Pelodiscus sinensis: one gene and its partners. The protein of the gene in region 2 purifies or fractionates together with the protein of the main gene of each other region. This does not show direct contact. Links are inferred from orthologs where the notes say so. Each region holds a gene or a part of one and is shown on either strand. Other genes may lie near its edges.

Region 1 (6,927 bases), on a different chromosome or scaffold from region 2:
CGTCCAGATTCAGCTGCTGCTGAAACTGACCGCCAGTTCTGACTTACATACAGATTCAATTTAAGAACCCCAAGCTTCCCCAAGTCAGCTGCTGCTGAAACTGATCAGCACCTGATTCCAGGAAGCCTGGGGCAGAGCAACTCTGCCTCGGGCTTCCTGTAGTCAGCGCTGGTCAGCTTCAGCAGCGGCTGACTTGGGGACGCCTGGGGCAGAGCAGCTGGGGTGCTGCTGGGTTGCTCCAGTAGCACCGCTCCTTGGCGCTACTGGACCAACCCAGCAGCACCCCAGCTGCTCTGCCCCAGGCGTCCTGATTCAGCCACTGCTGAAACTGACCAGCAGCGGCTGAATCAGGACCTGGGGCAGAGCAGCTAGGGTGCTGCCGGGTTGGTCCAGTAGTGCCCAGAAGGCGCTGCAGGACCAAATGGCAGCCCCAGCTGCTCTGCTCCAGGGTCCAAAACAAAAGCCTGGTCTGCTGGGGGGGGGCACACTAGCCGCGCCCCCTCCTCTCCTCAGCAGACCAGGGATACAGGAGCAGAGCCGCAGCGGCAGCGGGGTGCCGCGCCTCTGAGGCTTTCCTCTGGCAAAGCCTCAGAGGCGCGGGACCCCCCCGCGGCTGCGGCTTCAGTCCCGGTGCCTGTGGTCTGCTGGGGACGGTCCCCAGCAGACCACAGGCAGGGGACTGAAGCGGCAGCAGCGGCGGTTCCCCGTGCTTCTGAGACTTTGCTTTGGCTTTGCTCCGGTGCCCCTGGTCTGCTGGAGACCGTCTCCAGCAGACCAGCGGCACCGGGCGGGTTCCCATGCTTCTGAGGCTTTGCCAGAGCAAAGCCTCAGAAGCGCGGGAACCCGCCGCTGCTGCCGCTTCAGTCGCGGTGCCTGTGGTCTGCTGAGGACGGTCCCCTGCAGACCACAGACAGGGGACTGAAGCGGCAGCAGCGGGCGGGTTCCCCCGCTTCTGAGGCTTTGCCAAAGCAAAGTCTCAGAAGCGCGGGGAACCGCAGCTGCTGCCGCTTCAGTCCCCTGCCTGTGGTCTGCTGGGGACCGTCCTCAGCAGACCACAGGCACCGCGACTGAAGCGGCAGCAGCGGCGGGTTCCCGCGCTTCTGAGGCTTTGCCAGAGCAAAGCCTCAGAAGCGTGGGAACCCGCCCGGTGCCGCTGGTCTGCTGGAGACGGTCTCCAGCAGACCAGGGGCACCGGAGCAGCTTACGAACGGGGATTTCTCGCCCCGGAGCTCGCAGGTAGCAATCCGCTACCTCGACCTCCGGGGCGAGAAAGCCCCGTTCGTAAGTGCGGATCCGACGTAAGTCGGATCCGCGTAAGTCGGAGACTGCCTGTAGTGTTAAATGAGGAATTATTCTACTAAAAAGTCTTCAAATCACAAGCTACATACATCCATAAACAGATGCCTGAGGTACATCCTTCACATCAAATGGCAAGACTTTGTCACAAATGAGGAGCTTTGGAACAGAGCAGGACAAGAACCACTTGATGTTCAAATGAAGAGAAGAAAGTGGGGATGGCTAGGCCACACTCTCAGAAAACCATCACCCTGCATAGTCAGTTAAACTCTCACATGGAACCCCCAAGGAAAATGCAAAAGAGGAAAACCTCAGACAACATGGAGAATATCTACTGAGATTGAAGGACAACTCGGGTACTCCTGGAGTCAGCTAGAAGTTTTGTCTCAAGACAGAATGAAGTTGGAGAGTTAATATCATACATGGAAATATACCTCTCTCAGAGCTGGAAGGGACCTTCACAGCAGGACCAAGTACCATCCCTGACAGATTTGCCCCAGATCCCTAAATGGCCCCATCAAGGATTGAACTCACAACCTTGGCCAATGCTCAAGCCACTAAGTTGTCCCTACATAGGTCATAGATAACCTATGCTCCACTTGGAGTGCAAGGGTTTAAGAAGAAGAGGACAAAACAATCTTTAATTCATGGAGACTGCAAGACAATTTGGAGTATTAGCAACCATAGGACAGGCAGCATCTTAGATCAACTTCCAGAGACTATCTCTGACAGATCCCTTATGCCCCCTTCCTCCAGCCTTGAACCCACCACCCTATGTTTCCACAGGCAAATGCGCTAGCCCCTCAGCCACAGCAGAATTCACTCCATTGCCTGCTTGCCGCTGGGTCCCTTATGTGTAAAGACATACACATGAGGCTGTAAGAGCATCTATCAATATAGCCAACAATACCTACACACTATGTCCAGCTCTGACATAACGGGAAATAGTCTGAAATAGTGGTAGATACCAAATGTTGCTACAACTGCATCATCTCAATAATCTTACTCTGGAAAAGACATATAGAAATGGGCAATAGATAGTTAGATAATCAACAAGGTCCTGAGCACTGGCCACACCCAAGGCCGGACTGAGGCATGGGCGAGCCGGGCAACTGCCCAGGGCGCCAACCGATGAGGGGCGCCTGATGGCAGCTGCAAGGGGCGTGTGGCGTCCCTTATAGCTGCCATCAGGCGCTGCGCGCCCGGCTCCCGTAGTGCTGGCCCCGCGGCGCTGGCCTGCAGCGCTCTTCCCCCCACGGCCGTGGGGCCCTGCATGGCCTGGAGCGCGTGCCAGCAGCGCTGGCCAGGCTGGGCTGGGCAGCGCATGTACTGTGCGCCCCGGGGGCAGGCCCCGGGCTGCACGCCAGTGGCCGTGGCCGGCCCACGAATGCACCGTGTGCCCTGTGGGCGGGCCCGTGCTCCCTTGATAGCCAGGCCTGTGCCCCACAGGCGGGCCCACGCATGCACCATGTGCCTGTGGCAGCACTGCATGCCTGGGGCACCAAAAGGGCTTGGGCCGGCCCTGGCCACACCTGCATATATCAGAATAACTGAACGCATTTCCTCTCATTGTGGTCAAAAGTAGGCTGTTAAGAGTCTGTGGCGGCTTTTACCAACCAAGAAAGATGGTGAGTCTTTTTTCCCAGCAGATGCATTGCAAGAGTGTTTCCTATGCAACAGTGTTGGGAAAAGTAGTGGGTAATTTGCTTTTTGGAGAGGTTCTTTGGTTCCTTCCCTTATTTCTGCCATACAGGATGTAAGTGATTGCAGAAGCAGCCGTTGGGTCAGGTGGATCTGTGTCTGAGTCACTTTATTTCTTGTATGGAGCACTGGTAGGGTGTGTCCATACAGCAAAATTATTTTGGAATAACAGCGAGCGTCTACACACAGTTCTATTATTTCAACATAATGGACGGCTTATTCCGATATCTGTAAACTCATTCTATGAAGAATAATGCCAATCCGCAATGGCTATTTCAGAATGAGGCGTGTGCAGATGCTCCACTTCTGCTATTTGGAAACGGCCCGTCCCCAGGGCCATGCTCCTCTTGGGGCTGCAAACCGAGAAGGCACGTCTACCCCTGCGTCAGGCTCATTCTGAGGCTACCCGGCAGCGCAGAGGTGGGCTACGTCTACACTGGCATGATTTTCCGGAAATGCTTTCAACGGAAAAGTTTTCCGTTAAAAGCATTTTTGGAAAAGCGCGTCTTGATTGGCAGGACGCTTTTCCGCAAAAAAGCCCCGATCGCCATTTTCGCGATCGGGGCTTTTTTTGCGGAAACCAAATCTCTGCTGTTTACACTGGCGCTTTGGCGCAAAAGTTTTTGGAAAAAGACTTTTGCCCGAACGGGAGCAGCATAGTATTGCCGCAAAAGCACTGACCAGCTACATGAGATCGTCCGTGCTTTTGCGGAAAGTCAAGCGGCCAGTGTAGACAGCTGGCAAGTTTTTCCGCCAAAAAGCAGCTGATTTTGCAGAAAAACTTGCCAGTCTAGACACAGCCGTGGTGTTTCGGGCCAGGCTATTCCCGACTAGCTGCGCGCGTGGAGGCGGCCCTAGGGGCAGTCAGGAGAAGGCTCTGGCTGAGGGAGGAGCCTGGTCCCTGGGGGAAAGCTCGCAGGGGGCTGGTCCCCACCGGGCTTTTCCCTGCCGCGCCCGACAGCTGAGGGAGCGGGCCTGGCGCTAGGCCGCAGCGCGCGCAGCAGACGCCCGCCCCCTGGCGGGAGCTGGGGAAGTCTGGGCCCGGCCGCCGCGCGGCGGGAGGAGCGCGAGGGCTCCCGGCAGCCCCCGCTCGCCAGGGGAAGCCGCTGCCGGCTGAGGCGATGGCGGCCGGAGGCGGCGAGGCGCGCGCCGCGGACGTGGAGGAGGACGCCTCGCAGCTCGTCTTCCCCAAAGGTGCGCGGGGCTCGATCCGCGGGGGACACGCCCGGGAGCTGGGGGCGGACGGGCGGGGAAGATTCCCCCTGCGGGGCGGGGAGGAAGCGTGGCCCGCCCCGGCCCCTGGTGCTGGCGTTGAACCGGGCCGCCCAGTCCCATTTCCCAGCTCTGGGTCGCTGCCAGTCCCCACAGGCAGGGGCGCTGCGAAGAGAACGAGCCGTGGCAGCCCGCGCTGCCCGAGCGCTAAGCCGCCCGGTTCCAGCCGGACTAGCCCCGCGCGGATCGTTCTTGAAATAGCGTCTCGCAAGGCTTTTCAGTGCGTCAAAGGGGCACGATTGCGGCTGAAGCGCCCCCTTGCCGGGAACCTCTACTAGGTGCTGTGCAAATACAGGACAAAAAGACAGTCCCTGTCGCAGGGTTGTATGTAAAACACTCCGAGCTGTATCAGGCTGTCACAGTTCAGTGATCTCTGGGATTGATCTGAAGAACTCTAGTTTTTCTGATCGATGATCCTTGGCACACAGGTATTGCTGCCCGTGAGACTATTTTACAATTATTGACTGGAAACCAACTATTGAAGCATTGAAAGCGGGATTACCAATTGCCAGTAAATTCTGTTGCAAATATTCTGAATGACTCTGAAAAATAGTGTACATATCAATATAATTCAAAATAGTAATATTTAAATAGCTATATTTGTTCCTTCAAGGTGTCCCCAAAATGGGAAAAATGGGCTTATACTCTGCTATGATGTAAATGGAAACCAGAAATATGTGCAGTCTAGTTGCTTTTTTGCACCAGAAATTCATACCCCATCTAGTCTCATAAACACACTTGAAGTCAAACAAATTAATGAAATGGTTAAAAAGCAAGAGCTGAGAAAGAAGTTTATCTACGAGAGGGAAAATGATCTATAGTCAGACTGTTTCAAACTTGTTTTTTGTTATTGCCTGTTTAATTTCAACAACTAAATTAACATTTCTGATAATGAAAGCCTTTGTTAAATATTCAGGATCCTTTAATTAAGGTGCTAGCAGTAAACATCCCTCAAAACTGCAAGAAGCTCTCTAGCAAAACCACAGAAAACCACTCTTGCCATTCCTGATTTAACTAAGTTAAAAAAGAAGTAGTGTAAAAAAAAAAAAAGCCTTTGCAGTACTATCCTTTTAATATTTGTCTTTTATTTCAGACCTTTGTGTCTACTGAGTAATAATTCATTACAAAAATATGATTACCTCAAAAGATTGGGCTGGCAATTTAAATATGTATGATCAAAAAGTTAAAAATACCTGGAGTGCAACTCAGTATTGTAAACCTATTTGTCTGGCCTTGGAGGAATTATATTCTCATTAGTAATGGCTTCCAAGTTATGGAATACAGGATTTTCTGTCAAAGCTATGTCTCTGGCTCATTTTCCTTTCTCTGCAGCTATATCTGAGCATGAAACAAAGCATGTAAGAATTGGCTTCTTTGTTGGTGTCCTTATCTCCCCCTCACACTGATATTCACTTGCTCGTGTACAGAATTTGAAACTGCTGAGACGCTTCTAAATTCAGAAGTGCACATGCTTCTTGAGCATCGTAAACAACAGAACGAGAGTGCTGAGGATGAGCAGGAGCTCTCTGAAGTCTTCATGAAAACTCTGAACTACACGGCTCGCTTTAGCCGCTTCAAAAACCGAGAGACCATTGCCAGTGTCCGTAGGTGAGTGAGAGCGCCAAGGAAAGATGAGTTATTGTAGTGTATGTTCTATATTATGAAGTTGAAACATGTTAATTATTTCCAGGAACAGGGTTGTTCTAGAGATCTTAGTTGTATATTTCTGGGGGAGTGAGGGACTTAGTAAGATTCCATTAGAGCAGTGGTTCTCAAACACCTTTGCATTGGTGATCCCTTTCACACAGCAAGCTTCTGAGTGCTATTCCCCTTATACATTAAAACACATTTTAAAAATATATTTAATGCTACTATAAATGCGGGAGGCAAAACATGATTTTGGGGCTGGAGGCTGACAGCTCACACAATTCCATGTAAAAAACTTGTGACTTTTGAAGAATCATGACGTCCAGGTTGAGAGCACTTGTATTAGACTGGGTAATAAGAGGCCCCAGGCTGAGCCCCCAGAGCTCTTTTGGTATGATATGATAATATATGATAATAGGTTGTGGTAGATAAAAGGACTTTTCTAGCTTTTCTTTTTTGGAGGCTTGCTGGGGTTATCGTGTATGACTTTTTTTTCTTACTAGCAATAAGAGTTATATTCATAATAAAAATTACAACTTATATTGCTCTTTTTCTCATCTCCATTCCTTATTCACAGTTCTGTCAGGAGAATGTCAGCAGTTTAGTTTCTTTCACATTCTTTTCCTTTCTTCTTTTTTATTTATTCTGTTTTATCTCTACCCTTACCATTTTCTTTTTCTGTAGTTTGTTGCTCCAGAAAAAGCTCCATAAATTTGAATTGGCATGTTTGGCTAATCTGTGTCCCGAGACAGCTGAGGAGGCCAAGGCTTTGATTCCCAGGTGAGAATTTATGACTTTGGTTTTATGATTTATGGGTTCCAAGATGCAGGAATAAGTGGAAAACTGAGCTGATCTATTGTTTCCCATTTGTAGTCAGCATTTCATAGCCACTGTGGGATGGCCTACAAGGTACAATTCTGCATGATGTCAGTCAGATATCTTTGTTTACATCTGTTCCTGAGTATGGCACCCTTCTAATTTCATATCCTGAAACTGATCAGTAAAAAAGTG
Region 2 (7,980 bases):
CCTTAGCAGGCCGCCTGCATGCCACGGCCCAGGCGCTCTCAGCAGCTGCTCCCAGCAGTTAGGAGAAGGAGGAGGAAGAGGAAGAGGACGAGGACCTGCATGGGGGGAGGGATAGCTCAGTGGTTTGAGCATTGGCCTGCTAAACCCAGAGTTGTGAGTTCAATCCTTGCGGAGCCCAGTTGGGGGCAAAAATTTGTCAGGGATGGTATTTGGTCCTGCTGTGAAGCCAGGGGACTAGACTCAACTTGATGACCTTTCAAGGTCCCTTCCAGCTCTAGGAGATAGACAACCTCCATTAATTTGAATTACACAGCAGGTGACAATAGCAGGCCACAGGCACATGGCATCTATCCACCCCAGACACTCACAGCTCCACCCCCACCCTGCAGGATCCTTCTGTGGCTAGAAAGCCCCTTTACACTGACAGGGGCTGTGGGCTGCTTTAACAGCTGATGCGTGACTAACCCAGTCACACAGGAAGGCCTCTAGCCCCGTAGGAGCAAGCCAGCTCTGCCCAACCCCTCTCTTCCCTGCATGCTCTGGACTGATGGAGCTGAGGAAATAACCAAAGGCTTGTATGCCCCCACTGCATTTGCAGCCAGGCTTGTGGCAGTGAACACGTAGGCAGGAGCGCATGAGCGATGCTGGAACGTGCACGTTCCTGCTGCCGCCAAGGAGCTAAATGTCAAAGTACCATTGGTAGATGTAAACGAACCGTGAGACAAATGGGGCAGTTTGCACTTCTCAAGGCTACTGATGAACTGTCCTGCCAAGGCGGCAGCAGCCGGCCTTGCTTTCACAGCGGGAGGGGGCTAGGGAGAAAACTGGAGCCAGACTGGTGCAAAATCCTGGGACAGGACCTGCACCCAATGCCACAGAATACACAGGCCCTGCCCTGCCCACTACACACACAGGCTACATCTACACTGGCCCCTTTTCCAGAAGGGGCATGTTAATTTCACCTGTAGTAGGAGGGAAAGTAGTAGGGAAAGCTGCGGGGGATTTAAATATCCCCCGCAGCATTTAAATAAAAATGTCCACCCCTTTTTTCCGGCTTTTCCGGCTTTTAAAAAAGCCAGAAAAGAGCATCTACACTGGCCCCGATCCTCCGGAAAAAGCACCCTTTCCGGAGGCTCTTATTCCTTTGAAGTAGGAATAAGAGCCTCCGGAAAAGGGCGCTTTTTCCGGAGGATCGGGGCCAGTGTAGACGCTCTTTTCCGGCTTTTTTAAAAGCCAGAAAAAAGCGGCGGACATTTTTATTTAAATGCCGCGGGGGATATTTAAATCCCCTGCGGCTTTCCCTACTACGATAGGTGAAATTAACATGCCCCTTCCGGAAAAGGGGCCAGTGTAGACGAGCCCACAGAGCTGGAAACACTGCCCAGCCACCCCACCCACTAGGGGCAAACATGCAGGCTCACCCACCTCATAGCACCTGGCTACTTGTGGGATGCTGTGCCTCAGGGAGTCTTTCAGATCAGTTTCTGGCATGAAGTAAAGGAAGTGGCACATGCCCTTGAAACACTGGCCAGCTTCCAGGGGGGATGGTCTCCTGCTTTCTGCCCTCTCCCCCCACAACCCAATAGCCATTGAGCTGGTGCAATGTGCACACAAGAATATCTGCTGCTCCACTGCACCCCCCCCAGCCACAGGGGAGGGAGAACTACACAGAGCTAGCCGCAGATTCAGGAAGGCAGCTCAGACTCTGAGCTTATAAAAGGTCTTTGCACTCCTAAGGGCTGCACAAAAGCTGTGGCTACCCGGAAAGTTTTCGATCCAACAGGGGATAAGCACCCAGGTGGATTTTTGATTTTTGGTTCCAGCCCTGAGCGTGTGGGTCTTTAAGATGAATCTAAACTGCACGTGACTTTACTACACAGAATCTAAAGCACAAGGGGTGACTCCAATAGTAACACACGTCACCAATTTGGAGGAACAGATCACAAAACAATTCACAGGCGCTGGGGCCCTGACACAAGAGGGCCCCTCACCACGTTCACAAGCGGGAGGAAGCGGATTTGCAACCAAGCTCCAGTACTAGGAATTTCTTCCGTAAGCGCAGCTGCTCTCTTGGTGGAGTTGTCCTAACAAGCTGTAAAGCTCCACCCCTTTGTGTGTGTGAACAGATCACTAGGATATAAACCTCCAGTCCACGCAGACCTTGAATCCTGCACCCAGTTCTAGTCACCCCAGCTCAGAAAGGACACAGTGGAAGTGGACACGGTTAGCAGGGAGGGACACAGACGTTGGAGGCTACGGCGTGGTTTCCACACAAGGAAAGATTAAAAAGACACAGACTGCTCTGAGCGGTCTGCACGGGCCCTTCTGCTAAAGGACTGTACCCGAAGGGAGCAGCGCAGTATCCCCGCCAGAGGCGCTGATTTCTCACACGAGAGTCCGGGTTCAAGCGGCCCGTGCAGACAGGTCTAGACGCAGCCCCGGGCTGGAAAGGGGACGATGCCGGATCCCCCACTGGCCCGGCCCCACGGAGCCCAGGATGAACCAGCCCACGGACAGGACCCCCCCGCGGCCCGGGGGAGCAGAGGACGGAGGCTCTTGGCGGACTAAGGAAGCGGCGAGACCCCCCCCCCCGCCCGGCCCGGACTCGCCCGCGGGTCCGACGCGTTTCCGGCCCCAGGCCCCCGGGAGCGGCCCCGCTGCTGCGCGGGGCCCGGCGGGGGGGGGGGGGGGGGGCCGGGACCGGGTCTCGGCGGGGGGGGGGGCGCCCCGGGACCGGGTCTCGGCGGGGGGGGGGCCGTGGGGAGGCGGCGCAGGGCCCGGGGGAGCCTCGAGCCGCGTTACGGGCCCGGCCCAGGACACACGCGGGGGGGGGGGGAGATGCCGAGCCCCCCCCCGACCCCTCTGCATTTACCGGCGACGGCTTCGCCTCCACTTCCGGCTCCGGCATTCGCGATCACGTGACGCCGGCTCGCCACCTGACTCGCGGCCCGGAAGCGCGTCACGGGGGGGAGGGGGAACTCCCGGCGTGCCCCGCGACCGCCGCATACTGCCGCTCCCAGAATGCATCGCGAGCTCGCCCCGGGCTGTGCGTGCGCCAAGATGGCGGCGGTGGAGCACGTCGTGGCGGACGCGGGGGCCTTTCTGCGCGGGGCGCCGCTGCAGGTAGAGCGGGGGGGGGCGGGGACCCTGCGGCAGGGAGTTCCGCGGGCCCCGGCCCTCGGGCAGCCCCAGGGCGGGGGGGGCCCCCCGCCCTCACCAGCGGCGCCCGGAGAAAGGGGGGGTCCTGCAACTGGCTGCGGCACCCCCCGACCCTGAGTCACGTCGCTCGCGAGGGGCGGAGCTGGGGGGGCGCAGCCGCAGACCTGCCAGGCGTCATGTGACTGCCCCCCCCCCGCCAGTCGCCCGAGCCCTCAGGGACTCTTCGCCCGTGGCTGCTCCCCCCCCCCCCCCCCACGAACCGACACGCGAAGGGCCCTTCTCTCTCCTCCCAGGGCAGCTGCTTCGGGGGGCCTTGGCCGGGAAAGGGCCTCTCCCCCCCCCCCCCGTCACCTTTTGTCCACGTGTTGGTTGAAAAATCAAAGAATTTGAATAGTTCCTCAGTAATTCAGGCGGGTTGAGGGCCGAGTGCCCTTTGCAAAAGCCCTGCTGGCCCTTCCCAACAAATCCTGTTCCGCGAGGGGTCTGAGCATTTTGGTTTTTTTTTTATTATAGTTTCAACCAGTTCGCCTGGTGCGGAAGTCAGAGTTAGCGACCAGCGATTGCCGGGATTTCCTGTGGCGCCTTCTTTTAAAATGGGCATCATGATAATTGTTCTCTAGTGACCTGTTCCAGAAGCTGATTTGAGCAGTAGGTTACATGCCATAGAAAATAGCTTTGTAATTGCATATTTTAGAGAAATGTTCATATTTCATACTATCTGGCCCTAGTTACTGCTGAATTTATCTCAGAACTTCTTTTCTATCAGCACGTCAATCTGGAACAATTCCTCTGACTTATCACCTACAAATAATAGCTCAAGTGTGAGAATCTGCCTCATGTTCTCTGCAGCAAAGGCTGATGCAAATAATTCATTTAGCTTCTCCAGAACGGCCTTATCTTGCCTAAGTCATCCAGTGACCCCACTAATAACTGTAGAGCAGGGAAGCCAGGTTTTTGTCTGCCCTGGGAGCCCCTTTCCCAGCTGGATGGTGGGAGGGTGTTGTTATGAGTGCTCTTGTCTCAGTGTCTGGCTCCACGGTGATGGGCGTTGTGTATGGAGCTGCTTTTGGATCACACCAGGCTGGCTACGGAACTGGGCATCCCCAGGTCCTTTCTGGTCTTGGTCATTTGTCTTTTAGTTCCCAGTAGCAGAAATTCTTGTGTTTCTCATACACCAGGACTTCGGCAGAAACGTTTACACAATTAAGGAGGTGGTGAGTGAAATCCGGGACAAGGAGACCAGGAGGCGACTGGCCGTGCTGCCCTATGAGCTTCACTTCAAACAGCCCTTCCCTGAGTATGTTAAACTAGGTAAGTGAGCTGGCCTCATGGGCACCTGGCAGAGCACTACGGCAGCTGCCCACAGCCAACTCCAGTGGCCTTCCTGCCAGGGCCGGTACTCGCACGGCTTTACTCACAACAGCTGTGCTCGTTGTAGTTTGTCTACTCTGGATTCTATGAAGCACAGGTCAAGGTGAAAGTCCCATTCCTTTATTTAGCTCCTGCTCCTGCGAGAGAAACAAACCATTGTGTCGGCTTGACAAAGCCCTGGCTGGGTTGATTTAGTTGGGATTGGTCCTGCCTAGAGCAGGGGGCTGGACTTGATGACCTTCTGAGGTCTCTTCCAGCTCTATGGTTCTATGATTGTAAGTATCAAACGTGCTCTCACCATTAGTGCTATGAATTTGCTCCCTAGCTTAGCGCAATAGTTTTTACTTTGGCTTCTAATCAGGTTTGCTTCCTAGTTCTTGGGACATAGGACAAGGCTGTGATTTCTGGGGGGAAAGTTCACGGAGAGGAGGATAGCGTTCAAGTAAAACTGTTTTTGGGGAATGAATCTTTGATCTGCTTATCCCATTGCTACTAAAACCTACCTCTTAACCTTACTGTCATTAGTCAAGAGAAAGTGACACTACCTCTGGATTCTGCGCTCTTTAAGAGAGCAGCACCCCTCCCCCCCCTTTACGTACAGCTAGCCATGGACCAGAAGAAAAGACCTGAGGAAGAGATTTAAAGAGAAAATGCCCTTAGGAATTGAGGGTTTGGGGAAGAATTCTCAATAGACGGGAGTGTTCAAAGAAAAGAACAGCCTATTTAGGTACCCCGAGTCCCCCCGCTGTATTCATATATTTCTAGGAGGCCTCCCTAAGAGCCGTGTGTCTGCGAACCGTCGGACTCAGGCAGGACTCCCCCCTGTGACCACACACTCACTTTGTTACAGTGACAGAATTCTCAAAAAAGACAGGCGACTACCCCAGCCTGTCAGCCACAGATCTCCAGGTGCTAGCCCTGACCTACCAGCTGGAGGCAGAGACCGTTGGAGTGGCTCATCTGAAGACAGAACCAGAAAAAAAGGTAAACTCCCTTGAGTGACGCATCCAGGCTTCTGCCATGGTGCTGGGTGGATGAATGGGCGGGTCACACGTTTCGTGGGGAGGTACAATGCTGGGGGGGAGGAGCTTAATTCCAATTCTTGGTGTAAAATTTGGGCTGAATCTATTTTTGTGACTTGGTGCCATGTCACATGACCCTTTGTCTGGTCTCCAAAAAGCACTTCTGGGTAGCCGAGAAATTTGAAAAACAAATAATTGAAAAGAAGCATCTGGCTGCAATAAAGAATGTAGGTAAAACATTAGCTCTGAAACACTTGCGTTAAAAGAATTGTACAGCTGCACGGCCGTAGTCACCTCGCCCCGTTCCCCCCTCAAAATAAATCCAGTCTCTCTAAAATGCACAGCACAGAAAGTACAATACTGCGTGATGCGTGTAAACAGCTGTCAGTCAATACACTAGGTAAATGTGTGTGACTGCAAGGTAGGGTCTGTCACTTCTTACGAACACCTCATGGGTGAAATCTGCAACATAAAAGGGTTCTAAAGCCCCACGTTTGGCCCAGCGCAGATTCTTTAGTGCAGGTGCTGCAGAACCCCGCTGTAAGGCTGCGTTCCCAGCCAGCGGGTCACGCCCCTCTGCCTCCAACACTCAGCAATAGTGCTGAGGGGGGAAGGATGTTAGGGGCAGAGCTGTGACCTTGCAAGGACTCTGAGCAGCATTGCCACCTGCTGGGCAGCCTCCCTGGCTGCCCTAACTCTGGTGGCCCTGTGGGATTTGATTTCTGCTGGGAACCGCTCCATCCCCAGAGCCGGGGAGGCATAAAGGCAGCGCAAGCCCCATGCACTCCCCTCACCTGGATGTGGCCCAGCTTAGGAAACCAGTTCCCCCGCAAAGTAAGCATGTAGGGTGAGATCCTGGGGACTGAACCATGCTTGGGGGGCCTGTTTTAGCCATGAGTTGAAGTGTAATCATCCGCCAGCTGTTCAGCATCTTCCACTCGGTTTGGAAAGCCAGTCCAGTCAACTCAGCTCCATGGCTGGAGGGGTTCTGGAGAGATGCCCCAGGCCGTCCCGGTGTTCTGGCCTGGGAACTAGCCCAGGCCGGTCCGGGTCTGGAGTTCTGCTTTGCCTGCTAACCCCATTGCTGCTCTTAATCCCCCGCAGGTTCAGCTGAGCTCCACCATCCGGCATCCAGAGGCGCCTGTGAATATCGCTGGGTTCCACCTGCCATCCAAGGTACCTGTTTGCATGCGCCGGGATAACCCTCTGGGGGTCCTCCAGGGGAAGGTGCTAGCAGGGGGAAAAGAGCCTTCCACGCCCACAAAGGCTCATTTCCGGTGAGGTTGCCTGAGAGCGTTGTATCCCGGGAAACTGAGGCAGGGGGTGTTTCATCACAGGCAGTGTCAGGACAGGAGTGGAGCTCGCAGAACCTGGCCCTGCGAACGGTTACAGGGTTGCCTGTGCTGGCCTCCTCCCTTCATGCTCTCGCTTCTCTTCCAGGGCCTCCCGGCTCCTTGGGAGTGTCCCATCGTTCTGCACGTTAATCCTCTGTCCCCACTGCCTGTCTAGGATCAAGCAGTCAGGCCTGGGCACCAAGGAGGCAGCGGCAGCCCCAGGCTCTGGGGATGTCCCAGCAGTCTAGTAACTTTGTTGTATTTATTCTCCCCCAGTCCCAGCGCCTGGAGGCGGATGCGTGCGTGTCCACCTCGGCAAGCCGCCCGCGGGCAGCAGAGGACAGCCCCGAGTTCGGGGCCTTCCTGTACTGGAGGAACCCTCTGCCCAGCATCGAAGAGGACCTGCAGGAGCTTCTGGTGAGAGGCAGTCGGGGCTCTTGAATTCCCTTGTCTTTCCCCAGCTCGTTTCAGCTGGATTCTCTCCCTGGCTCGCGGATGTTCGGTTGGCGCCCCCTCCTCGGGCGGCACTCCCCTCTCCTGCCTGCGTGCTGCATGGGACGCCTCTGACAGCATCTCTCGCCCTGCAGAAAGCTCACACCGTTTCCCTGAGCCCCGAGGTCCCAGCGACATTGCCGCCTGGGATGGATCAGGAGAGCGCTGGGGAGGAGGGAAGTGACGGGGACAGCGACGACGGAGAAGGCTGGATAACGCCCGACAACATCAAACGGATCCAGCAGGGGATGGGGCATTGCGATGCTCCTGCCAACGTGCAGGTCGGCTGCGTGACCACAGACTTTGCCATGCAGGTAAGGAAGGGCTGGGGGACTGTAGTTCTGCCCTAGAGGGACGGGGGCCAAAGCACAGGGCAGGACATCATTGAGCACGTCCACACCAGCCAAGTCTCCCAGACGCGATCGCAGCATGAGAAGCAAAGCGCCTTGGTCTGAAACTGGCTCAAAGAGAGACCAGGCAGGAACCAAGGGGCAGTTGTTAACCTGGCGTCCCCAGCACGTAGAGGAACGGCAGAGGGGTGTGCACCAGCGGCCCTGTACGACAGAAAAGGGGCGAACCGAGGGGCTCGCCTCCCTGCAGGT
Region 3 (6,865 bases), on a different chromosome or scaffold from region 2:
GAGGAGGAAGAAGAGGAGTTGTGGGGGACAGGAACAAGGGAGAGGTTAGTGGGGGAACAGGAAGGGGGACAGGTGGAGCCATCCCAGCAACTACTCTGTGCTAGGCCCCAAACATCATAGAGATGCAGAAACACAGGCCCCAGGGCAACCCAGAGGATGGGGGGGGGGGGGGGGGGCGGAAGAGAGACGGGCTGGTGCTGACAATAGGGGTCAGGCCTACTCCCACACTCACTGATGGAAAGCAGTGGTGCAACAGGGCCTCACCTCATTCTATTTTGCAGGCTCCCACTGCAGCACTGCACTCAAGAGTATGGGGGAGGGGCACTGGGGAAAGGAATAGGGGGATGGAGGGTGCAAGCAGGGTGCAAGAGCCTGGAACTTGGGGGAGGGGTATTGTCCCAACATCCCAGGAATGGCCCTGTAAAGCTGTGAGCTAGCTGAAAGATACGAGGGGGGGGGGGGGGGCGGGGGAGCTGACCAGAAGGAAACAGTGAGCAGTGCCAGTGGCTGGGCACATAAGAACAGCCGTACTGGGTCAGACCAAAGGTCCATCTAGCCCAGCATCCTGTCTGCCGACAGTGGCCAGCACCAGGTGCCCCAGAGAGGGTGGACTGAAGACATTTATCAAGCGATTTGTCTCCTGCCATCCCTCTCCAGCCTCTGACAAACACAGGCCAACAACACCATTTTATCCCCTGGCTAATAGCCTTTTATGGACCTAACCTCCATGAAATTATCTAGCTTCTCTTTAAACTCTATTATAGTCCTAGCCTTCACCGCCTCCTCTGGCAAGGAGCTGCACAGGCTGACTACACGCTGTGTGAAGAAGAACTTTCTTTTATTAGTTTTAAACCTGCTACCCATTTAATTTCATTTGGTGTCCTCTAGTTCTTCTATTTAGGGAACTAATAAATAACTTTTCTTTATTGGCCCTCTCCATACCACTCATGATTTTATATACTTCTATCATATCCCTCCCTCAGTCTCCTCTTTTCTAAACTGAAAAGTCCCAGTCGCTTTAACCTCTCCTCATATGGGACCTGTTCCAAACCCCTAATCATTTTAGTTGCCCTTTTGTGAACCCTTTCCAAGGCCAAAATATCTTTTCTGAGGTGAGGAGACCACATCTGTACGCAGTATTAAAGATGTGGGAGTACCATAGTTTTATACAGGGGCAGTAAGATATTCTGGGTCTTATTTTCTATCCCTTTCCTAATAATTCCTAGCATCCTATTTGCCTTTTTGACCGCCACTGCACACTGTGTGGAAGTTTTCAGAGAACTGTCCACGATAACTCCAAGATCTCTTTCCTGATTTGTCGTAGCCAAATTAGCCCCCATCATACTGTACATATAGTTGGGGTTATTTTTCCCCAATGTGCATTACTTTACACTTATCCACATTGAATTTCTTTTGCCATTTTGTTGCCCAATCACTCAGTTTGGTGAGATCTTCTTGGAGTCCCTCACAGTCTGCTTCTGTCGTGACTATCCTAAACAGTTTTGTATCATCCGCAAACTTTACTACCTCACTGCTTACCCCTTTCTCCAGATCATTTATGAATAAGTTGAAGAGGATTGGTCCCAGGACTGATCCTTGGGAGACACCACTAGTTACCCCTTTCCAATCTGAAAATTTACCATTTATTCCTACCCTTTGTTTCCTGTCTTTTAACCAGTTCTCAATCCAAGAAAGGACCTTCCCTCTTATCCCATGGCCATGTAATTTACACAAGAGCCTTTGGTGAGGGACCTTGTCAAAGGCTTTCTGAAAATCCAAGTATACTATATCTACTGGATCACCCTTGTCTGCATGTTTGTTAACCCCTTCAAAGAACTCTAACAGATTAGTAAGACAGGATTTCCCTTTACAGAAACCATGTTGACTTTTGTCCAACAAATTATGTTCTTCTACATGCTTCACAATTTTATTCTTCACTATTGTTTCGACTAATTTGCCCGGTACTGAAGTTAGACTTACCGGTCTGTAATTGCCAGGATGGCCTCTAGAGCCCTTTTTAAATATTGGTGTCACGTTGGCTACCTTCCAGTCATTAGGTACGGAAGACGGTTTAAAGGATAGGTTACAAACGACAGATAAATGGGAAATTGCTGAGCTATTGAGTTCTTTTAGGACCCTTGAATGAATGCCGTCCGGTCCCGGAGATTTGTTAACAAAGTTTTTCTATCTGTTCCAAAACCTCCTCTAACAACACTTCAATCCGGGACAGCTCCTCAGATTCATTACCCACAAAGGACGGTGCAGATTCGGGACTCTCCCCAACCTCAGCCATGAAGACTGAAGCAAAGAAATCATTTAGTTTCTCCACAATGGCTTTACTTTACAACCTGTGGTGGGCCAAAAGATGGGCCACCAGAGCTAGTGCTGCCTGTAGCTGCCTAACGTCCCATCCCTATGCATAACACAGTGCACCACTAAACTTAGGGCATCCCTATGGTGCCCTGCACAGCTGTGCACGCCTGGGCGCGGCGTCCGGCTCTGAACGAAGACGCACAGACACCGCAGAGCGCTGAGAAGACAGCGAACTGCACGTGAGGAAAAGCGCGAGACCCGCCCGAGGGCGGAGCGAGCGACTCACCGATGTTGGCAGGAAACGGAAGCTCGTGCACCGCAGGGTCCAGGTTGATGACGTAGGGCGGGCGCCCCTGGCTGTGCAGATGGGCGGTGAGCCTCTGCGGAGGAGAGGGCGATGTGACGTGACGTGAGTGACCCCCCCACACACACACTTTTCCCGTCCCCCCACCCCCGGAAAGCGGAGCCCCCGCCTCACGCGGAGCGCGAATCTCCTCACCTGCACCAGGGTGGTTTTCCCGGAGCCCGCCATGCCCAGCACCAGCACGCAGACCGGTGGGGCCGCCTCCTCCGCTGCAGCCGCCATCTCGCTACTGTCCCTTCCGCTTCCGGCACACAGAAAGGTGCTTGGGACCGGAAGCGGAAACGGCTCGCTCCAGGCTACTCTTCGGCCCGGATGTTCAGCGCTCCTACCCCGCGACAGCAGTTCCCCCAGGCGGCCTAGCACCCCGCCCTCTAGCGCTGCCTGGCCACGCCCCTCCAGCACCTCTCCTCGCAGCCTGTACTGCCCAGCCCCCTGCCCGGCCACACCCCCTTATCCCCCAGCACCTCCCCTCGCAGCCTGTACTGCCGAGCCCCCTGCCCGGCCACACCCCCTTATCCCCCAGCACCTCCCCTCGCAGCCTGTACTGCCCAGCCCCCTGCCCGGCCACACCCCCTTATCCCCCAGCACCTCCCCTCGCAGCCTGTACTGCCCAGCCCCCTGCCCGGCCACACCCTCTTATCCCCCAGCACCTCCCCTCGCAGCCTGTACTGCCCAGCCCCCTGCCCGGCCACACCCCCTTATCCCCCAGCACCTCCCCTCGCAGCCTGTACTGCCCAGCCCCCTGCCCGGCCACACCCCCTTATCCCCCAGCACCTCCCCTCGCAGCCTGTACTGCCCAGCCCCCTGCCCGGCCACACCCCCTTATCCCCCAGCACCTCCCCTCGCAGCCTGTACTGCCCAGCCCCCTGCCCGGCCACACCCCCTTATCCCCCAGCACCTCCCCTCGCAGCCTGTACTGCCCAGCCCCCTGCCCGGCCACACCCCCTTATCCCCCAGCACCTCCCCTCGCAGCCTGTACTGCCCAGCCCCCTGCCCGGCCACACCCCCTTATCCCCCAGCACCTCTCCTCGCAGCCTGTACTGCCCAGCCCCCTGCCCGGCCACACCCCCTTATCCCCCAGCACCTCCCCTCGCAGCCTGTACTGCCCAGCCCCCTGCCCGGCCACACCCACTTATCCCCCAGCACCTCCCCTCGCAGCCTGTACTGCCCAGCCCCCTGCCCGGCCACACCCCCTTATCCCCCAGCACCTCCCCTCGCAGCCTGTACTGCCCAGCCCCCTGCCCGGCCACACCCACTTATCCCCCAGCACCTCCCCTCGCAGCCTGTACTGCCCAGCCCCCTGCCCGGCCACACCCCCTTATCCCCCAGCACCTCCCCTCGCAGCCTGTACTGCCCAGCCCCCTGCCCGGCCACACCCCCTTATCCCCCAGCACCTCCCCTCGCAGCCTGTACTGCCCAGCCCCCTGCCCGGCCACACCCCTCCGCCCCCCAGCATCTCCCCTCGCAGCCTGTACTGCCCAGCGCCCCGCCCTCTAACGCTGCCTGGCCACGCCCCTCCGCCCCCCCAGCACCTCCCCTCGCAGCCTGCACTGCCCAGCCCCCTGCCCGGCCACACCCACTTATCCCCCAGCACCTCCCCTCGCAGCCTGAGGGCGGAGGGGGGGCGGAGGGGGACTGGGCAGTACAGGCTGCGAGGGGAGGTGCTGGGAGGCAGAGGGGCGTGGCCAGGCAGCGCTAGAGGGCGGGGGGCTGGGCAGTACAGGCTGCGAGGGGTGGTGCTGGGAGGCAGAGGGGCGTTGCCAGGCAGCGCTAGAGGGCGGGGCGCTGGGCAGTACAGGCTGCGAGGGGAGGTGCTGGGGGGCGGAGGGGCGTGGCCAGGCAGCGCTAGAGGGCGGGACGCTGGGCAGTACAGGCTGCGTGGGGAGGTGCTGGGGGGCGGAGGGGCGTGGCCAGGCAGCGCTAGAGGGCGGGACGCTGGGCAGTACAGGCTGCGAGGGGAGGTGCTGGGGGGCGGAGGGGTGTGGCCGGGCAGGGGGCTGGGCAGTACTAGCGCTGCCTGGCCACACCCCTCCGCCCCCCAGCGCCTCCCCTTACAGCCTGCGCTGCCCAGCGCATCTCTGCCTACCAGCGCTCAGCCACTGCCCGCCTCGCCGCCGCCAGCAGCTCCCCAGGGCAATCTAGCTTTTCTCTCCCAATCTGCACAGCCCAGCACCCCAGAATCTTAGCACTGCCTGCAGACACAGACAACCCCTCTCCACCTCCTAGTGCCACAGCCTTTCTCCCCTGTCCTCTTAGCACTGCCTTCAGGCACAGACAAATCCTCTGCTCCCAGTGCTACAGCCTTTCTCCTGGTCGTCTTAGCACCACCTGGGGGCACACTGACAACTACTGCTGCTCCCAAGGCAACAGCCCTTTTCAATGAATGCAGGTCTTGGATGCCCTGTATCAGAAGATAGTGTTCACCCTTGGGCAGAAGGTGTACATGGCATCAGATTGTATCCACAAAAGATACATGGCTCCATGGGCTGGCATCCTGCATCTCTCATGCCGCCTTCTGGCACACTGTCTGGTAAAGACTGGAGTTCTGCTATGGATTGTGGGGTCCTCATTCCTCCCAGGGAATTTTGAATCTGTGGGTGTTGAATTCCCAGAAATCCCTCAGTTCAATCCCATAATTTACTCTTATTTCTTGTTTGATTGTGCTCCTGAAACTATGGACACAACACTGAGCAGTGATGCTCTCAGGTCCATGTTATGGCCAGGACAAGGCATGCTCTTCTATTTCCAACCCCACCATGCTCAGAGACAGGGTATCAAGATGAGCAGCCAGCCCATGGCTAAAGGAGGAGGAGTTGCACTGTATGTAAGAGAGCAATAGAACTGCTCAGAGCTCCAGTATATAGAGGGAGAAAAGTCTGTTGAGAGTCTATAGGTTAAGTTTAGAGGTAGGAGCAACAGGGGTGATGTTGTGGTTGGTGTCTGCTATAGCTCACTGGATCAGGTTGATGAGGTGGACGAGGCACTATATGTGAAAAAAAATTAGAATCAAATGAAGTAAAAATCTTAAATGAATCAACATGTCCCATAGAATCTCTATGCATAGTAATTCTCTGCTCTAATAAGAATATAACAGTAGAGATCTATTATTGACCACCTAACCAGGACAATGATAGTGACTATGAAATGCTAAGGGAGATTAGAGAGGCTAACAAAATAAAGAACTCAATAATAGTGCGGGATTTCAATTATCCCCCTATTGACTGTCAATTATCCCCATATTACATGTCACCTCAGGACAAATTGCAGAGACAAAATTTCTTGATACCTGAAACAACTGCTTCTTGGAGCAGCTGGTACAGGAACCCACAAGGGGAGAGGCAATTCTCAATTTAGTCCTGAATGGAGCACAGGATCTAGTCCAAGATGTAACTATAACAGGACCACTCAGAAATAGTGACCATAATATAATAACATTTAACATTCCTGTGGTGGGAAGAACACTTCAGCAGCCCATGACTGTAGCATTTAAGTTCAGAAAGGGAAACTATGCAAAAATGGGGTGGTTAGTTAAACAGAAATTAAAAGGTACAGTGACTAAAGTAAAATCCCTGCAAGCTGCATGGACACTTTTCAAAGACACCATAATAGAGGCCCAACTTAAATGTACACCCCAAATTAAAAAAACACAGTAAAAGAACTAAAAAGGAGCCACTGTGGCTTAACAAAATAATAAAATAAATAATAATAATAAAGGAGATTGCCTATCTCCTAGAACCAGAAGGGAACTTGCAAGGTCATTGAGTCCAGTCCCCTGCCTTCACAACAGGACCAAGTACCATCCCTGATGAATTTTTGCCCCAAATCCCTAAATGGCCTCTGCAAGGATTAAACTCACAACCTGGGGTTTAGCAGGCCAATGCTCAAACCTCTGAGCTATCCCTCCCCCATGTAAAAGAAGCAGCAATAGATAAAAAGGCATCTTTTAAAAAGTGGAAGTCAAACCCTAGTGAGGTTAATAAAAAGGAGCATAAACACTGCCAAATTAAGTGTAAAAATGTAGTAAGAAAAGCCAAAAAGGAGTTTGAAGAACAGCTAGACAAAAACTCAAAAGGTAATAAAATATTTTTTAAGTACGTAGACTTCCAATAATCTGGAACCTTTGGGACCTAAGTGGTGCCAGATTATCGGATATGCTGGACTATCAGGAGGTACTATAAAATGTAGTGT
Region 4 (7,495 bases), on a different chromosome or scaffold from region 2:
AATTGCACATCCCAAACTTGAAATGAAATTAATGAAAGTTGCAATGTGCAAGGAATGGAGGATGGCTGTCCTCAAAAAATAAGATTTACATTGCAATCAAGGGCTTGTCTACACAGGAATGTCATACAGGTATAAGCTAAGTGCTAAGGTGTGAATTTAAACTGAGATAGTTATACCAATATAACTCCCCATGTTGATGCTTAGTGCATCTTACTTTGGAAGGTGTTTAAGATACCCCTCCCTCAATCACTCGAATAAGAGTGCCTTATGGAAGGGATAATGGTATAACTCAATGAATTTAAATATTCCAGTACAGTAAAAAAATCTTCATGGTGTCTACTAAAGAAAAAACAGACTACTACAGGAAATTAATAGATGAGCTTGAATAATGTGTAGAGTCTTTCACATTAAGTAAGTTTACAATATGAACTTTCAACATAACATTACTTATACAAGAATCAAAACAAGTATTACACATACCATATATCTATTATAAACGGTAAGCCTACTCTCTGAACAATTTTGAGAGGTTTACCAGATTACAAAGAGATAGGATGTCTCTGGAATATAAAAACACAGCACAAAGGGCACTGAGAGCCTTATTAAACCATCTTCCTTATGGCATAGGCCAAAGGAAGGGAGATCACTTTTCCTGATTCTTCAAAGACCCACTTTAGGGCTCTCCAATTTCTACAGAGGCACCTGTCAATCAGAAGCATGCAGATCCTCATAAGTATTTAGGTGCCTGTCTGTCTCTTTAGGAGCCTTCATCCACTGTTTAGGCACCACTAATATTTTCAAAATCCTTGTTTAGCTGCTGCCTAACCCCATATGCATCTCAGTCTCATAGGAGCCTAAGTTTCTGTCAGTTGGCATTTGCTAAGCAACCGAAGTTTTGACACCACCCCACAGCTAATGAGCAGCTCTGACGATTAGTTTACACTGAAGCCCAGGAGGCCCCTAGGCAGGATTCTCAAACTAGCCAGAGGATTGCGTATTTGCCAGCAAGACCTGATCCCACAGGCACTCTCTGGGGTAGCCTAAGACTTGATGCCTGTCAAGTCCCACAGCAGGAGGGCTGCAGTCTACCTTTAGGTGTCAGAGACAGCACAGCAGTCACATAAAAGGCTAAGTTGGGAGCACAGGGAAATGGGACAAATCATGAAAGAAATACTGAACAGCAGACTGAGAAAGGGATGGTTTTGGCTACTAGGGCAAGAACCACCTAATTGGCTGACTTGGCTTATGTGTCTAACTCCAGCAGAGGGTCTCTGGCTGAGGAGCCTGAGTGGAGGGAAGTGCCTATTTCTGGCCCATCAGCCACAAGTACCCAGGTAACCTGGCTAGGAGCATATATACGTCTCCTCTCTCCACCTCTTTTCTCAGAATTTCACCTCTGACTAGTTTAGGCTGTTCCCCAATGCCCCCCTCCCTTTAGCTTGGTGATTTCTCAGGCTTTCTTTCCTAGACACCTTGCTTTCCCCAATAGTTGAATGAGGAGCCTGAGTGCCCAATTTGGGGCTGAGGATTCCACTAGATAGCAAACTACCTCAGAGTTAAGCACTGCAATGGTGTGCAGAATTATCTGGGCCATGTTCCTAAAGAGAGCAGAATGGCATTCCCATTCACATTTATTTCCATGCTCTTCTAGTCAAATATCATTAAAATCAACACTTAAAATGCCAAAATGTATCTAAAACTCTGCTAAATGTAATCCCAGCATCTGTGATGATTTGCTTGTCAATTTATTAGCACAGGAACTGGTGTATTTTCTATAGTTCTGCACTCTCTCCAGTTTGGCCTGATGGAAAAAAAGGTTAAAAAGAGTTGAAGTGCTGCACCTATGTCTTTGTATGAAATATCAGGTATTAGATCTGCTTTTCATCAAACAAAAATAAATTACTTCACTGCATTTGAATCGTAATACTTCAGGAACTTCTTAAAATATAATGTCATGGCAAATCCTTCACTTTCCCCCTGCTACTTGGTCAAAATATATTTTAAGATGAGAAAATTTGACTGCAACACTTCTGAGTAATTTTATTCAATAATGTTTCCATCCTCTAAATTTACTTAGGATCCCATTGAGCATGTTTTTAGGTCTCTATTTGTCTTTATCTATCTGTAAACTCATATCAATCAATTTTTTTTCCAGGTAAAGTTGTGAGCTCTTGGATGGGGTAGACCTTCTGGAAGTTCCTGTAAACAGGAAACTCTGGTATAGTTTAGAATGTATTTGAAATATTTTAGCTGTTCCACTTAATATAAGAATTCTACAAGACAGATAGCAACTCTAGAAATGAGGCTCTAGCCAACAATGACTTTACAACTGCTTGAGGAATATTAACGAGTTTTCAGTAAGAGGTAAAAAGGGAAAAAAGGACTCCTTTTTTTGAATATGCAGCATAGTATACATTTGTATTTGCATAATATACATATGTTGCATATACAATGCATACCTAATGAGCCACCATTTCTTTCAGAAGAGGCTCTTGCGCAAGAAGGAGCGTCTACACTGCCCCTTCTTGTGCAAGAAAAACCCTCTTGCGCAATGCCATTACACCTATTACTTTTCAGGAAGAACGGCATTGCGCAAGAGGGTTTTTCTTGCGCAAGAAGGGGCAATGTGGACGCTCCTTCTTGCGCAAGAGCCTCTTCTGAAAAAAATGGTGGCTCATTAGGTATGCAAATGAGGGTCGGCAATATTCCACGCTTAGTCTCATTTGCATATTACTCGTGCAAGAAGCCGCAAGTGTAGATATAGCCTAAGGGTGGTATGGAGAAAGAGAATAGGGAAATGTTATTTAGCCCTTCACATAACTCAAGAACTAACGGTCACCTTATGAAATAAGCAGTAGAAACTCATTGCCAGGGAATGTTCTTCTTCAAGTGATTGCTCATGTCAATTCATAGAATGGACTGTAGGCCTTTCACTTTAGGAGAATGCAGGGTCCAGAATGCCTGGGAGTTAGCAGGGATCCTGGCACTGCAGCAGTGAGCAACCTATTCCCAGCCCATTCTGGTTCCTGTCCCTCCCCTCCGCCCCCCCCATCTGTTCCATTCCCTCTTGCAAACCTCCGCCTTGCCTCTTTCTGTCTTCTGTCTTCTTCCTTGAGTGTCGTAGAGTGGCAAGGGTCACTTTCAGCTGCTAGTGCCAGGCCCCCTGCAGGCCCATATGCAGAAATAACTGTGAGGTGTGCTTTTTTTGTAAATGTGGACCACAAAGGTGTGAACGCACTCCCTATTGTCCCACAAGTAAGCGTGGAAATCAGCCTCAGCCTTCCCCTGGCTGGCCAGAGTATGCTTACTTGGGGGACTGCACCCTTCACCCCCCTCCCTCATGTATGGGCCTGCCCTGGTAGCCTCCAAGGCTATGTCTACACTGGTGGGTTCTTGCACAAGAACATCTTGCGCAAGGGTTCTTGTGTAAGAAGTCTTGCACAAGAACACGTCCATACTGCCATGTGCGAGATGTGCTTTTGCACAAAAGCATCCATGGCAGTGTGAATACTCTCTTGCACAAGAAAGCTGATGGCCATTTTAGCCATAGGGCTTTCTTGCGCAAGGTATCCTTGCCGTGCGTCCACACTGCCCTCCTGCGCAAGAGCTCCTGTGCAAGAGGGCCTACACCTGTTAGAAAAGAGTGTAGCTCTTGTGCAAGAAGTGCTCTCGTACCACGCTGTACTTTAAATCTTCTTCCGCAAGAGCGGGCGGGCAGTGTGGATGGTCTGCGGATTCTTGTGCAAGAAAGGACATTAATAATTGCATTTTAACTTCCTTAGTATGGTGTGTGGGGGCAGTGTGCGAAGCCCCCTGGCTGCCCCTGCGCATCAGAGCCAGAGGGGAGACATGCTGTTACTCCCGAGAGCCATGTGGAGCCACAGCATGCAAAGAGCAGGGCAAGCCCTTGCCTCTGATCTCTGGCTAGAACTCAGGGCTGGTGCCCTAGTCTGCCCTATGGATGGAATGGCTCTGAAAAACATAGGCCCAAACACTGGTGGAACTGGCCCCTGGTCCTGAACGCTGATGAACCATGGATTCATATAAATCACCACTTATTTAGACAGTGCATGGTCCTGCCATGAGGGCAGGGGACTGGACTCGATGACCTCGAGATCCCTTCCAGCTCTATGATTGTGACGAGCTCGATCCATGCTGTGGAGCCGAGGCACCCCTCCAGCCCATGGGGTGCCAAGCTGGGGCCGGCGAGTGCTGCTGAATGGACACATCCTCCTTTAATGGGGCCCCAGTCGCACCCCCCAACGAGCGGGGGAGCCTGGCCAAAGAGCAACCCCGCTGCGGGGGGGGGGGGGACACCTACTCCCTGGCCTGCGGCGCTGAGAAGCTGCCAGCAGCGGGAGGGGCGGCAGCCTGTGTGAGACCCCCGCCCGGGGCGGGCTCAGGCGCACTGGGTGGGCTAGAGCAGCAGCCGGGGGAGAGGATTCGGCACCGAGCGGGTGCAGCAAACGGAAGTTCCCTTCTCCTCCAGGAAGTGACGTCGGCTTCCCCCTCCCCGGCGGCGGCGGCTCTAGTCCCGGGCGCGGCGGGCAGCGGAGGCCCGAGGAGCGGGCGGCATCATGGCGGACGGCGTGGACCACATAGACATCTACGCCGATGTGGGCGAGGAGTTCAGCCAGGTACGCGCGGGGGGGCGGGCGCGGGGCCGCGCGGGGGGGAGGAGGCGGCGCTGCCGCCGCCATTGTTGGGGCAGGCGCCCGGGCGCGGGTTTCCCGCGGAGCACTAGGCCGCTGGTGCAGGCCGCATGCGCGGGGCCCGGCAGCTGGGGGCCCGGCGGGCGGGGGTTGCGCCGCTCGCTCCGACGGGGGCAACACGACTCGGCCCGGAGAGCGGGAGCGGCCTGTGGCAGACCCGCAGCCCGGCGGCCCGATCCTCGTAGCGCTGCCCGCCTCTGCCTGGTGGGGGTGGCTGCGAGGGAGAGACTGTGACGCGCCGAGCAGCACCCGTCTCCGCATAACGCTGAGGTGCTGTAGCACACACCCAGCAACTCCCCCCCCATCTCCAGAGCCCCCTGAAGAGACAGTATTGCACAACCAGTATTTTGTCCCATTTCTGTATCTCCTGAGAGATTATACACAAAGCAACTCTTCCATATCCCTGAGGAGAGCGTGAAGTGACTAACACACTGGAGCAGGATGAACAATATACACCCTGCGGGCCAAGTCCAGCTTAACCAGTTAACTGGTTAAAGGCTGAGACCGGGTGGGGGGGAGGAGTGGTCCTCCCTCCTCTGCCACAGTCTAGGGCGGCACCAGCATCCTCTTGTTTTGTCATCCAGCAGCCACCAGTGGTATGTATCTCCCGACCAGGAACAAAGCCTGCACCTCGCATCCCTTTCTGCACCCCAATACCCTACCTCAGGTCAGAACCTGATCCTGGACCAAAGCTCCCTTCCAGACCCTGCAACTCCTCTTGCACCCCAACCCTTGCTCCAGCTCAAAATCCTGCATGCAAACTAGCGATGTCAGATATCAGGTAATTGAATAGTTGTGTAATTGCATAAAATCTTAATGATTACACAACTATTCGATAGTCCCCAGGGGTGGGGCTGGCAGCCAGTGTGCTCCCAGCCCCATTCCTGGGATGCCCCCTGCAACTCTGCACTACTGCTTCTGTATCAGAGGTGGCTGGGGGAGCTGGTCTGCAAGGAGAGCCAGCTTAAAAACCAGCCCCCCGCGCAGAACAGCTACCTGCCTCTCCATTACTTCTGATACAGAGGTAGCAGCACGGGTTGGAAGCAGCCCTTGTCCATAGGGGGTCCAAGCTCCTCACGGACAGAGACTGCTTTGTGGCTGCCTCTCCCCCCGCTGCCACTGATAGAGGCAACAGCGTGAGGGGGAAGGCAGCACTGTGCTGGGGTGAACTGCCTTTTAATCTGGCTCCCCCCAGGACCAGCTCCTGTCATCCCTCTCCCCCCACTCTTGCTGCCTCTAACAAAGAGGCAGCAATGAGGGTGGGTGGAAATGCATGTAGTCAACAAGATTAACTAATATGCCTAGGCTAATTGGTTAATCATATAGGTGACTACATGTTGACATCCGTAGCTTGTAATCAGCATGCACATCAATTCATATGCTGTTACTTTATGTGTATGTCACTTTAGTAATACTGCTACAGAACACACACAACCAACCCTCCCACCCCCGCCACCAATGGAAACCAGTGGAATCTGACAACCCTGTATGTGGGCAACAGGAAACAAAATGTCTAGCGGGCCACTTATAGAACTCCAGTGGGCTGTATGTGACCGTCATATTGCCCACCACTGCTGAAGAGTATAACACCCAGAGCATGGCCCTGTTTGAGAATAGAGGCTGTGACAGACGGCAAAACCCCGACCAACTCACAACCTGAGGAGACACACACCACTAACTCCCATCTGTGTATCCCCGGAGAACGATGGACACACAAAGAGCAACTCCAGAGAGACACTAACACACAGGAAAATATCTCGCATCTCTATATTGGAAATCACCTTATCCCTTGAAATTCTATAAAACACATGAATCCTACCAGCATCTAAGAGAGTTAGAGATCAGGGATGTGTAAAGATAACTGGCTGACTGATAAGCGTCACACTAAATGGGTAATGCTTACTTCCAGTTAACTATAGGGACTGGAGGATGGGCAGCGGGCTGCTCCATCCTTGTGGGGCCCACCACAGGCAGGGGCTGCTCTGGATGACTGGAGCAACCCCTGTCCATGGCGGGCCCAGCCCACTGCCACATGCTGACTCCCTGGACCCAGGTTACATGCTGATTCCCTGGACCAACCCCTGTGGCAGGGAAGCCTCTTCCCCAGGAGTGGCACCAGCAGCTCTTGCCAACTCTGCTCCCGGGGAAGTGGCTTTGCTTGGGGAGAAGGCTTTATTTAAAGTTTATACTGCAGAGCCTGCTGTGTGTGTAACTAAGATTTTTCAGACTTTAAAAAATTTCATCTTTTTTAACCGACTTTATATCCTTGTTAGCAGGGCTTGACAAACGGCGGTGAAAACTGCTTGCCAGCCCCGTACTGCGCATGTGCAAGAGCCGCATTGCGCATGCGCACGCCACGAATGAACAGGGCTCGTGGCTGAAATCTATTTGCCACGGGCAAGTAGATTGTATGGTTTGTCGAGCCCTGCCTAATTTAGATTCTGTAACACATGCATGAAAATCCTCAGTCTGCAGATAGAGAAAGAAACCAGGGAGCAAGCACAATTTCTTGCCCTGTGCAAGGTCATCTAGTAGGAGAAATTAATATGTGGCAAATTTATCATCCAGAGGGAAGAGAACTGTAAAAATATGCGCTGCATTTTCTTGCAGAATGCAAAAATGAATAACTAAATACTAAGAGAGAAACCAATGGGTCTCCTGAAGGTGAGAGTTGATCCAGTCTTGAGACACTTGGGGCATATACTTTAACAACTGCTTTTGCCTGTTTATGGAGACACATCTCCTTTTTTCCTGTATTGCATACAGCCAACTGGCTTTCATCT

The links.
Region 1: the proteins of WWP2 (region 2) and POLR2D purify together in Homo sapiens (affinity purification with mass spectrometry; 3 studies listed by BioGRID and IntAct, with this or other methods). This does not show direct contact. The link is inferred for Pelodiscus sinensis from reciprocal best matches to the Homo sapiens genes WWP2 and POLR2D.
Region 3: the proteins of WWP2 (region 2) and GPN1 purify together in Homo sapiens (affinity purification with mass spectrometry; 3 studies listed by BioGRID and IntAct, with this or other methods). This does not show direct contact. The link is inferred for Pelodiscus sinensis from reciprocal best matches to the Homo sapiens genes WWP2 and GPN1.
Region 4: the proteins of WWP2 (region 2) and CPSF6 purify together in Homo sapiens (affinity purification with mass spectrometry; 3 studies listed by BioGRID and IntAct, counting the BioPlex papers as one, with this or other methods). This does not show direct contact. The link is inferred for Pelodiscus sinensis from reciprocal best matches to the Homo sapiens genes WWP2 and CPSF6.

The regions. Positions count from the first base shown.
Region 1 is NC_134720.1:5,692,348-5,699,274, reverse strand, and holds the start of POLR2D (DNA-directed RNA polymerase II subunit RPB4), read left to right. Parts: upstream 1-3,909; 5' UTR 3,910-4,118; coding exon 4,119-4,191; intron 4,192-5,696; coding exon 5,697-5,877; intron 5,878-6,600; coding exon 6,601-6,696; intron 6,697-6,927. UniProt on the Homo sapiens protein: Core component of RNA polymerase II (Pol II), a DNA-dependent RNA polymerase which synthesizes mRNA precursors and many functional non-coding RNAs using the four ribonucleoside triphosphates as substrates.
Region 2 is NC_134722.1:1,626,636-1,634,615, forward strand, and holds the start of WWP2 (NEDD4-like E3 ubiquitin-protein ligase WWP2), read right to left. Parts: upstream 3,001-7,980; 5' UTR 2,909-3,000; coding exon 2,873-2,908; intron 1-2,872. Other genes in the region: RNA-binding protein NOB1, read left to right, coding at 3,022-3,123, 4,338-4,470, 5,381-5,514, 6,657-6,728, 7,163-7,303, 7,474-7,692. UniProt on the Homo sapiens protein: E3 ubiquitin-protein ligase which accepts ubiquitin from an E2 ubiquitin-conjugating enzyme in the form of a thioester and then directly transfers the ubiquitin to targeted substrates.
Region 3 is NW_027465901.1:118,037-124,901, forward strand, and holds the start of GPN1 (GPN-loop GTPase 1), read right to left. Parts: upstream 3,013-6,865; 5' UTR 2,900-3,012; coding exon 2,813-2,899; intron 2,694-2,812; coding exon 2,600-2,693; intron 1-2,599. UniProt on the Homo sapiens protein: Small GTPase required for proper nuclear import of RNA polymerase II (RNAPII). May act at an RNAP assembly step prior to nuclear import.
Region 4 is NC_134711.1:63,706,850-63,714,344, forward strand, and holds the start of CPSF6 (cleavage and polyadenylation specificity factor subunit 6), read left to right. Parts: upstream 1-4,480; 5' UTR 4,481-4,577; coding exon 4,578-4,637; intron 4,638-7,495. UniProt on the Homo sapiens protein: Component of the cleavage factor Im (CFIm) complex that functions as an activator of the pre-mRNA 3'-end cleavage and polyadenylation processing required for the maturation of pre-mRNA into functional mRNAs.